Linked DNA regions of Arabidopsis thaliana. The protein of the gene in region 2 interacts with the protein of the main gene of each other region in a biochemical or structural test. Each region holds a gene or a part of one and is shown on either strand. Other genes may lie near its edges.

Region 1 (3,934 bases), about 14 Mb from region 2:
CTAAAATCAATAAAAAAGCATCCCAAAAATAATTGATAAAATTTCATATTTTCTATAAATAAACAAAGCAAAATCAATCAACTTATAAAAAGAAGATAAACTCAAAATTCTCATTGGCCAATTTTTAAAGTAGTTTATACTGTACTAAATTTATAATTCTGATCCAAAACAAAACAGTACGTACCAAACACATGTATAAATTTTATAAATCGAAAACGAAGCTGTACATCCCATATGCTATGCAATGACATTAATTGGAAAAGCTATAAACAAGAGCAATTTGATACATTTATCTCACACCAGATAACAAGATTAATCAGATATGCATGACACCGTTTCGAAAACCGAGGATTAATTAGGTGATAACATGAATCATGACAGGATCATTGCCTAACTAAAGAAACACAAAATGGATACAAGCCCCAAGATCTGACACAACTTTAGAGAGAGAGAGGGAGAGAGAAGTTTCATGACAACAATTAAGGAAGAGAACAGAACATATATGTCTGAGTGTTTAGGTTAGAATCTCATAATAAACAACCAAAAGGGTAATCCAAAAGCTGAATCTTTCTTTCGACTCAGCTCTCAGATGCATACACCAAAAAAGGCTCTCTCTTTTTTTTCTTCTGTTTCTTACTTTCATCTACTTAAAATGTTTTTTCTTTAAAGAGACGATTTTGTTTAAATCAATATAGAAAGATAAAACATTTAAAGCTTCAAGGACAAATCAATGGTATTAGGACTGCAATCACCTACGAGTGACGACGTTTTAGCCACCACTGAAACTCTTTCACCATATTTCCCCGGAAAAAACTCGTACTCCTTCACACCTCCTGATCCATTTCTAGGGTTTCCTTCCATGTAGCTCCCAAATTCCTCCATTGGTCCCTAAACCCACCAGTTAAATCAAATAAGATCAACAGTTATATACATATATACCTATATATGAGTATTAATAAATGGACTATACTTAGTACCGTATGATTTGTTGCCTCGTTGAAATAAGGATTAATAGTAGTACTAGAAGCAGAAACTGAAGCTGCTCTAGCGATTCTATGATCATAAAGGAAACCTTGGCTCCTCTGATGATGATCTGATTGAAGAAGATACTGATCGTAGCCGTTCATCGGAGGAGGAATCATTGTGTATTTCGAAAATCCACCACCGTTGGATCGAACTACATTATTCTGATCACCATCCAAACGTTTCTTCTGCAGTTTTTTACATAAATAAAAATCAAAACTTTTTCAAGTGCAAAAACTATATATATATCAATCATGTTGATGAAAACGATTAAAAAACAAACAAACCTTGAAGCAAGTGTCACAGCGATTATTGGAAGAAGCGTTAAACATTTGAGGATTTGAGATTGAAGAGAGCTCATGAGTAGTGGAGGAGGTCTCAACAAAACCCCATGGAGAAATAACCGGGTCGATCATAACCTGACCCGACCCGACTCCACCACAATAGATCCTGTTGCTCCCGAGTGAGCTTGGGAAGCCTTGTAGCACAACACCCGGGTCTACCGGTACGGGTAAACGGGTAGCGTTGTTAGAGATCGATGCTACTGATGACGTGTCTCCGACTGTGGCGGCGGCGAGTTGCTTCTTTTCTTCTTCGATTCTCTGACGCTCGAGCTTTGCTACACCCATTCCTCTCAACGTTGGTTTCTTCTGTTTTTGCTGACCTGTCTTCGATCCTGGTTTCCGACCACGACTCTTCAGTGTCTCTGTCCGGATCTCGCCGGAGCTGTTGACGACAAGACGGGTGTTTCTCAGAAGATCGTTTGGGTTTCCGACGGAGTTTTGATCTGTTGACATGAAGAAGAGAGAAGTCGCCATTGATGATGATCTTCTTCTCGGAACTCTTTTTAGATAGAGAGAGAGAAGGGAAGAGGTAAAGACGAAAGCTTTAAGTGTGTGTGTTTTGTTTCTGCTCTCTTTTTGTGTGTGTGTATCTCTTTAGTGTTCATATACTAGCTCAGGCAAAGTACTTACCTGTGTTTTTATTTTCTGTTATTTCCAGGTACTATATGCGGATAAACGTATCTTTATTTCTTTTTTACTTTTTACCCCCTATAGTAGATTAAATTAAAGTATTTTTCAAAAAGATTAGTAAAGTATATCATAAATTCATAATACGTATTCTTATTTTATACTTTCTTAGTCTTATTAACCTTAGATGTTATAAATTCCCTTAGCACTTGCATGCATTTTTAACTTATGTGTGTATAGTCGTATAGATGTTCAATTTGTCAATATTAGTGGGTGTAAGTCAAGAGACGTTGAAAAAAATGCATTATTTGATGTTAATATGGTCATGAAAAGGAACAACTGAAATAAATAAAAAAGAGAGTTTGTAACTGAAAACTATGTTATATAGCATGAATGTATGATTTGATTGATGTTGTTATCCATGCATTGGATCGTGGAAGAAATTCAACATTATAGTATGATAGTTAGTTATCTTTGGTTCTGTCCATTAAATGGTATTTTTTATTCTTTCTATAATCTTCAATTACTCCTTAATTAATTAACCTACCTCTTAATATATAGAGTTTTGACTAAATAACTAGATATGGAATACTATGCTGTACATCTATAATACTAGTATCGGTGTAAAGAGTAAAGTGGGACGAATTCTCACTTTGCAACGAATATGATTAGTTTGTGAAACAGATCAAAGATATAATGATTTATAGTTTTTAAGAATTTAAAGGAGTAACAACAGAACAAGGTTTCAAATCCTTTATTTTCTTACATCTTTTGGGCGAAGAATGTAGAAAAAAAACAAAAACTCAAAGCTATTTATTTACTTGTTCCTGATAAAAAAAATCAGAGATTGTGATAATCCCTACCATGGAGACAGCAAATCGGAGATTGTCGCTACTCGCATAGGCTCAGTCGTGAGGTGAGAAACACTGTCCAATAGTAACAGCGCGTGCATCACATTGCAAAGAATATAGTACCCGCGGATCGAGGACAGGTGTCGGGACGTTAGACCATTCGCCGATTGTAGCGAGCAAGGTCTGGGACAACGTGATTTTACTCAGCTCATATCAACTAAAATAAGCAAGTCCAGTTACAGTCGCAGACTCGCAGTTATATGTATTTTTTTTTTCTTCAAAAACAAATTTTTATTTACTTTGACTAATGTGATATGTATATGAATATATGATAAATACGACGAGTAAGCTTAAAAACTCACTATACTTAGCTGACAAATAAAATACTAAATACAAAACGAAAATTAATATATTTGACATTTATTTGAAAAAGTTAGCTTTCGGTATTTGAAAAAAAAAATCGAGAGATAGTTATTGCTTCACATGAGAGGAGGACGAAAGCAAAAAGAATAGCATGAGAGACGTGAATTACGAGAAGGGTTTGGAGCTACGGAGTAGAGTAGAAATGATGGCTGCATCATATAAGGAAACATTTTAAAGCTGCCTCCATGTTAATCTTGGCTTCAGCCCAATACCTACTATTAGAAAATTTTAATTATCTTAATACAAAGTTTGTTTTATATGGATATTCTCAATACAAGTCTTAAGAGAAGCCCCACTGAAGTAATTATACATTACTATGTGTTGAGATTTCGTTTTTTTTTTATATAAATGAAGTAACCAGATGAGATGTTGTACATCTTAAATGGCTATTATATGATCTACGTAACCGTTGTAAATGTATACTAGCTAATAATAAAACGTACGTTGTTAAACAAAAAAGAAATACAAATATATTTAATTATTTCTCCATTATGTATCTTATTTTTTCTAGTTATCAGTATTTACTCGATTCCAAAGGTACTTCGAATTACCTTTGCTAAGTACGTTTTCTGAGTAAAGTTATCATATAACACTCAAATAACCTTTTTTACCCCCAAACAAAACAACTTCAATATGTATCTTCATAAGTTCATATATTTATAAAAC
Region 2 (3,934 bases):
ATCAAACCCTTTTGTTAAAAAAAACATTATTGGTTTTTATTGTGCCTCCCCAAAAAATCTAAAAATTCACCAAAAAAAAACAATTAAAAAAAAAAAAACAATCACTCTTCGACTCTTCCTCCTTTCTCTCTCTCCCTCTCCCTCTCACTTTGCTCGTTATCATCATCACTTCATCATTATCTTTCTTACGATCTACCCCCAAAACTATATCAGTTGGCATCTATAGGTTTAGCTAGATTTCCGGGGGATAAACACATCACTTATTAATTTTCCTTTTGTTGTCGAAATTGTTTTCTGACCAAAAAAAAAGTGCATGCGAGAAGTCACATACCGAGGGAACAAAAATGAAATCAAAACTTATAAATTCATTATAAACAAACGAGATTCTTTGGAGTGTATATATAAAAGGTTGAAGAAATGAATGGATAAGGTTTTGTGAATTAGGGTTTTTGTTTTCTTATATATATATATATGAAGATGTTGAAATAAAGAGTAGAAGATGGAAGGTTACGTCTATTGGCTGGTGGTGGCCGAGGCATCTCTTGTAGATGATCCACTGATCTTCCGTTGCGAGTCGCCATAACCAAATGCTCGTTCGGGTGGTGAGCTGAAGCGTGATGGCTCATCATCATGTTCATGTTTATATTCTGCCCTCCGCTTCGCATTTCCTCCTAATAAATGAAATCAGCAAACTAATTGGCAAAAAAAACTTAAAACACTAATCAAACCAAACTACTTTGATATGATGTTTTCGAAAGAAACCCTAGTTAACTAGCCATTGCCAAACTACTTAGATCTATCCCGGGATGCTAACAAAATTAAACATTTTTGGATTGAGTTTCACAATTTTGCGTTTCTCGAGAAGAAAAGCCCTAATTATTACTCTCTGTTTTTTTTATGAAAGAACCCTAATTTGTTTCGATGAATGAAACCGATGTACCAAAAGATTTGGAGGAGGAGGAGGAGGAGGGGGAGGTAAAAAGGAATGGCCAAGGTTGGAAACGGATGGAAGAAGAAGAGCTCTCATGCTCACGGTCACCGACAAAAGGTTCGAACAGTGGCCGCATCTGACCGTCACCGTCTTGAACAAACTACTCGGAGGAACACTCACCTGCCAATTAATATCACACATTAATTAACTAGTAATTCATGTGAAACCCTAGCTAGAGTTATAAATTTGAAATATTGAGATGAGATATAAGAATAATCCAAAATTTACAGCAAGGACAGTGTCGCAGAAGCTGCAATGGACGTAACAGAGCTGGTCCGTAGATGAGAAGTGGTCCGGTGGAAAAGCTGGAGCTGAGGAGGACGACATGGACATGCTCGACATGGAGTCTTTTTCTTGATTTAAAACAAAAAAGGAGTAAGAGAGAGAGGAGGGCTTTGATTTGATTGAAAAGATATGACTGATCGATGTTCAGATAGAAGTAGATTCTCCTTCCACCACACCCTTTTGACAATTGTGTTTAGTGTTGGGTGATGAGCAGTACTTTATAAATGTCTTGTACTTCTCCAGAAGTTGAAGTCCAGAGAGAGAAGGAAGAGAAAGAACGGTGGAGAGGAAGATGTGGTTTAGAGAGAGAGAGAGAGAGAGATATCTATTTATGTAAATATGAAGAGACACTGTACCTAAACAAATTGGCGACATGTGATGAAGAGGCCATTGTAGAGATAAGCTGCATACCTGCATTCTCATTTACTACCTTTTGAACCGGTTTATCTTCTTTATTATTCCTATCCATCCTTTTTCTTTCTTCTATATATCAAACCGGAACTAGTCTTTGTTTCTATATAATCAGATAAAAACTCTACTTTGGGACTAATTATCATTATCAAGTACCATTGAATTAGTAGCCGATCGGTGAGGAATAATAGATATAAAGATTTCAAAGTTTTATAACGACAAGATTTGTGCAGCATCAAACATGTACATACGACAAACATGCTAACTTTTTTTTTTTTTTACCAACTATTTAAACCGCTTATATATTTGCGGAAAAAACAAAACTTCAATTTGGCTAATAAGTGTCGTACGTGACACATGTATAGAAGATTAACCATATCTATAGGGTTTAATTAGGAGTTTATTTGAATGTCGAACATCCAAAAATTAAGATAATATTAATTCACATGTTAAAGTTGGAATTGTTAAGGTTTTCTATTTTGGTTATGCATTTTGTTACATGGTTTGTGACCTTGTGTCGTCGCAATGATGATAATGCAACAGTGGAAAAAAATTTGATGATAATTGATAATGCAATAACAGAAAATATATTGGAATTGTTAAGGTTTTCTATTTTGGTTAAGCATTTTGTTACATGGTTTGTGACTTTGTGTCGTCGCACTAATGATAATACAATAACAAAAAAAATATCAACTAAAAGCATGAAAATAAAGAGGGAACAATATGAAAATATACTTATGCATGAGATAAAGAGAGAACAATATGAAAATAAGGTTGGTGTTGTTTTCATAGACCTAAAAGCAGCAGAACTTGAACTTGAATGTGTGTTGTGGTGGATCTCCAGAAAGTCCTTGGCATATTACACCCATATTTAGAGTTAAAAGTGGTCATATAGCTAGATATTTTGTTTCTATATGCACATATACACTCGCAGTGAATCCAACTCTTCAGCGTATTGAGGTCATTGTACAAGTCTTCTCCGCAAAATAAGAAGAAGAAGATAATGTAAAATAAACGAAGTTAAATCTAATCTGGTTACGGTTTGAATTCAATTGGATGAAAAATGTTTTGTTTTTTCTTTTCTTTAAAGGACGCAAAGTTCGATGAAGTGGGAGAGAGAGGAAGAGGAAAGGGACTTGTGCATGGAAGTGATTAAGCAAAGGCTCATTCATCAGTTGTTTTCACACTTAATAACATTTCTGCCACACCACACTTTCCCTCGATCCTCGTCAATTCCATGCCCTTTTCTATTTATTAGTATTTGTATATACTTTCTCTACATTCCAATGTATATCATTTTGTCATCATTATTTTTACCCGCAAGTGTGTGGTTTCGCTAAATTCCATAATACAGGACCACCATTTTGTGGTAACTTCCCAATTGTTCGTGATAATTACTAGGTCATAGTGAAATTTAAATTTATTTATATCTGAAATTAGTTTAAGTTTTTGTAAATATTATGGCTATCCGGTTTCACAATATATAGTGTAGACATAGAATATGATTTTTGTAAGTCAAAATCCTATCACAATAGAACTTCAAGCAAATATAGTATAGTTGTTTGCAACTTTAGTATTTGTATTGAGTTTATTAGAGTGTGGGCTTCCAACATAAAACCAATTGGCAATAGATGGAAAGGCTCATATCTTATATATATCACTTAAGATCCTACTCAACTTTCGATGTGGGACATTGTCCCTAATACGCCCCCTCGAGATGATGGTTCTTCTAGCCATTGATCTCGATATGTTTGGGCATGGATCGGCGGGCCAAGTATTGGGCCGGACCGATGTGGATCGGGTTGAGTATGTGCGGATCAGGCTCTGATACCATATTAGAGTGTGGGTTTCCAACCTAAAACCAATTGGCAATAGGTGAAGAGGCCCATATCTTATATATACCACTTAAGATCTTATTCAACTTCCGATGTGGGATATTATCCCTAATACGCCCCCTCGAGATGATGGTTCTTCTAGCCATTGATCTCGATATGTTTGGGCATGGATCGGCGGGCCAAGTATTGGGCCGGACCGATGTGGATCGGGTTGAGTATGTGCGGATCGGGGTCTGATACCATATCAGACTGTGGGCTTCCAACGTAAAACTAATTGGCAATAGGTGGAGAGGCTCATATCTTATATATACCACTTAAGATCCTACTCAACTTCCGATGTGGGACATTGTCCCTAATAGAGTTTTCAAAAATTTAACTTCATTAAGTAATCAATTCATATGATGTTCTATAG

The links.
Region 1: the proteins of YAB3 (region 2) and SPL form a complex in vitro, tested with the Arabidopsis thaliana proteins (one study listed by BioGRID).

Annotation. Positions count from the first base shown.
Region 1 is NC_003075.7:13,681,619-13,685,552, forward strand, and holds SPL (sporocyteless (SPL)), read right to left. Parts: upstream 1,977-3,934; 5' UTR 1,842-1,976; coding exon 1,311-1,841; intron 1,212-1,310; coding exon 978-1,211; intron 889-977; coding exon 709-888; 3' UTR 460-708; downstream 1-459. UniProt on the Arabidopsis thaliana protein: Transcriptional regulator of sporocyte development. Acts as an adapter-like transcriptional repressor recruiting TPL/TPR corepressors to inhibit TCP transcription factors. Required for nucellus and embryo sac development.
Region 2 is NC_003075.7:73,757-77,690, forward strand, and holds the start of YAB3 (Plant-specific transcription factor YABBY family protein), read right to left. Parts: upstream 1,821-3,934; 5' UTR 1,334-1,820; coding exon 1,220-1,333; exon of another isoform or gene 1,133-1,219; coding exon of another isoform or gene 1,112-1,132; coding exon 941-1,111; intron 672-940; coding exon 512-671; intron 1-511. UniProt on the Arabidopsis thaliana protein: Involved in the abaxial cell fate determination during embryogenesis and organogenesis. Regulates the initiation of embryonic shoot apical meristem (SAM) development.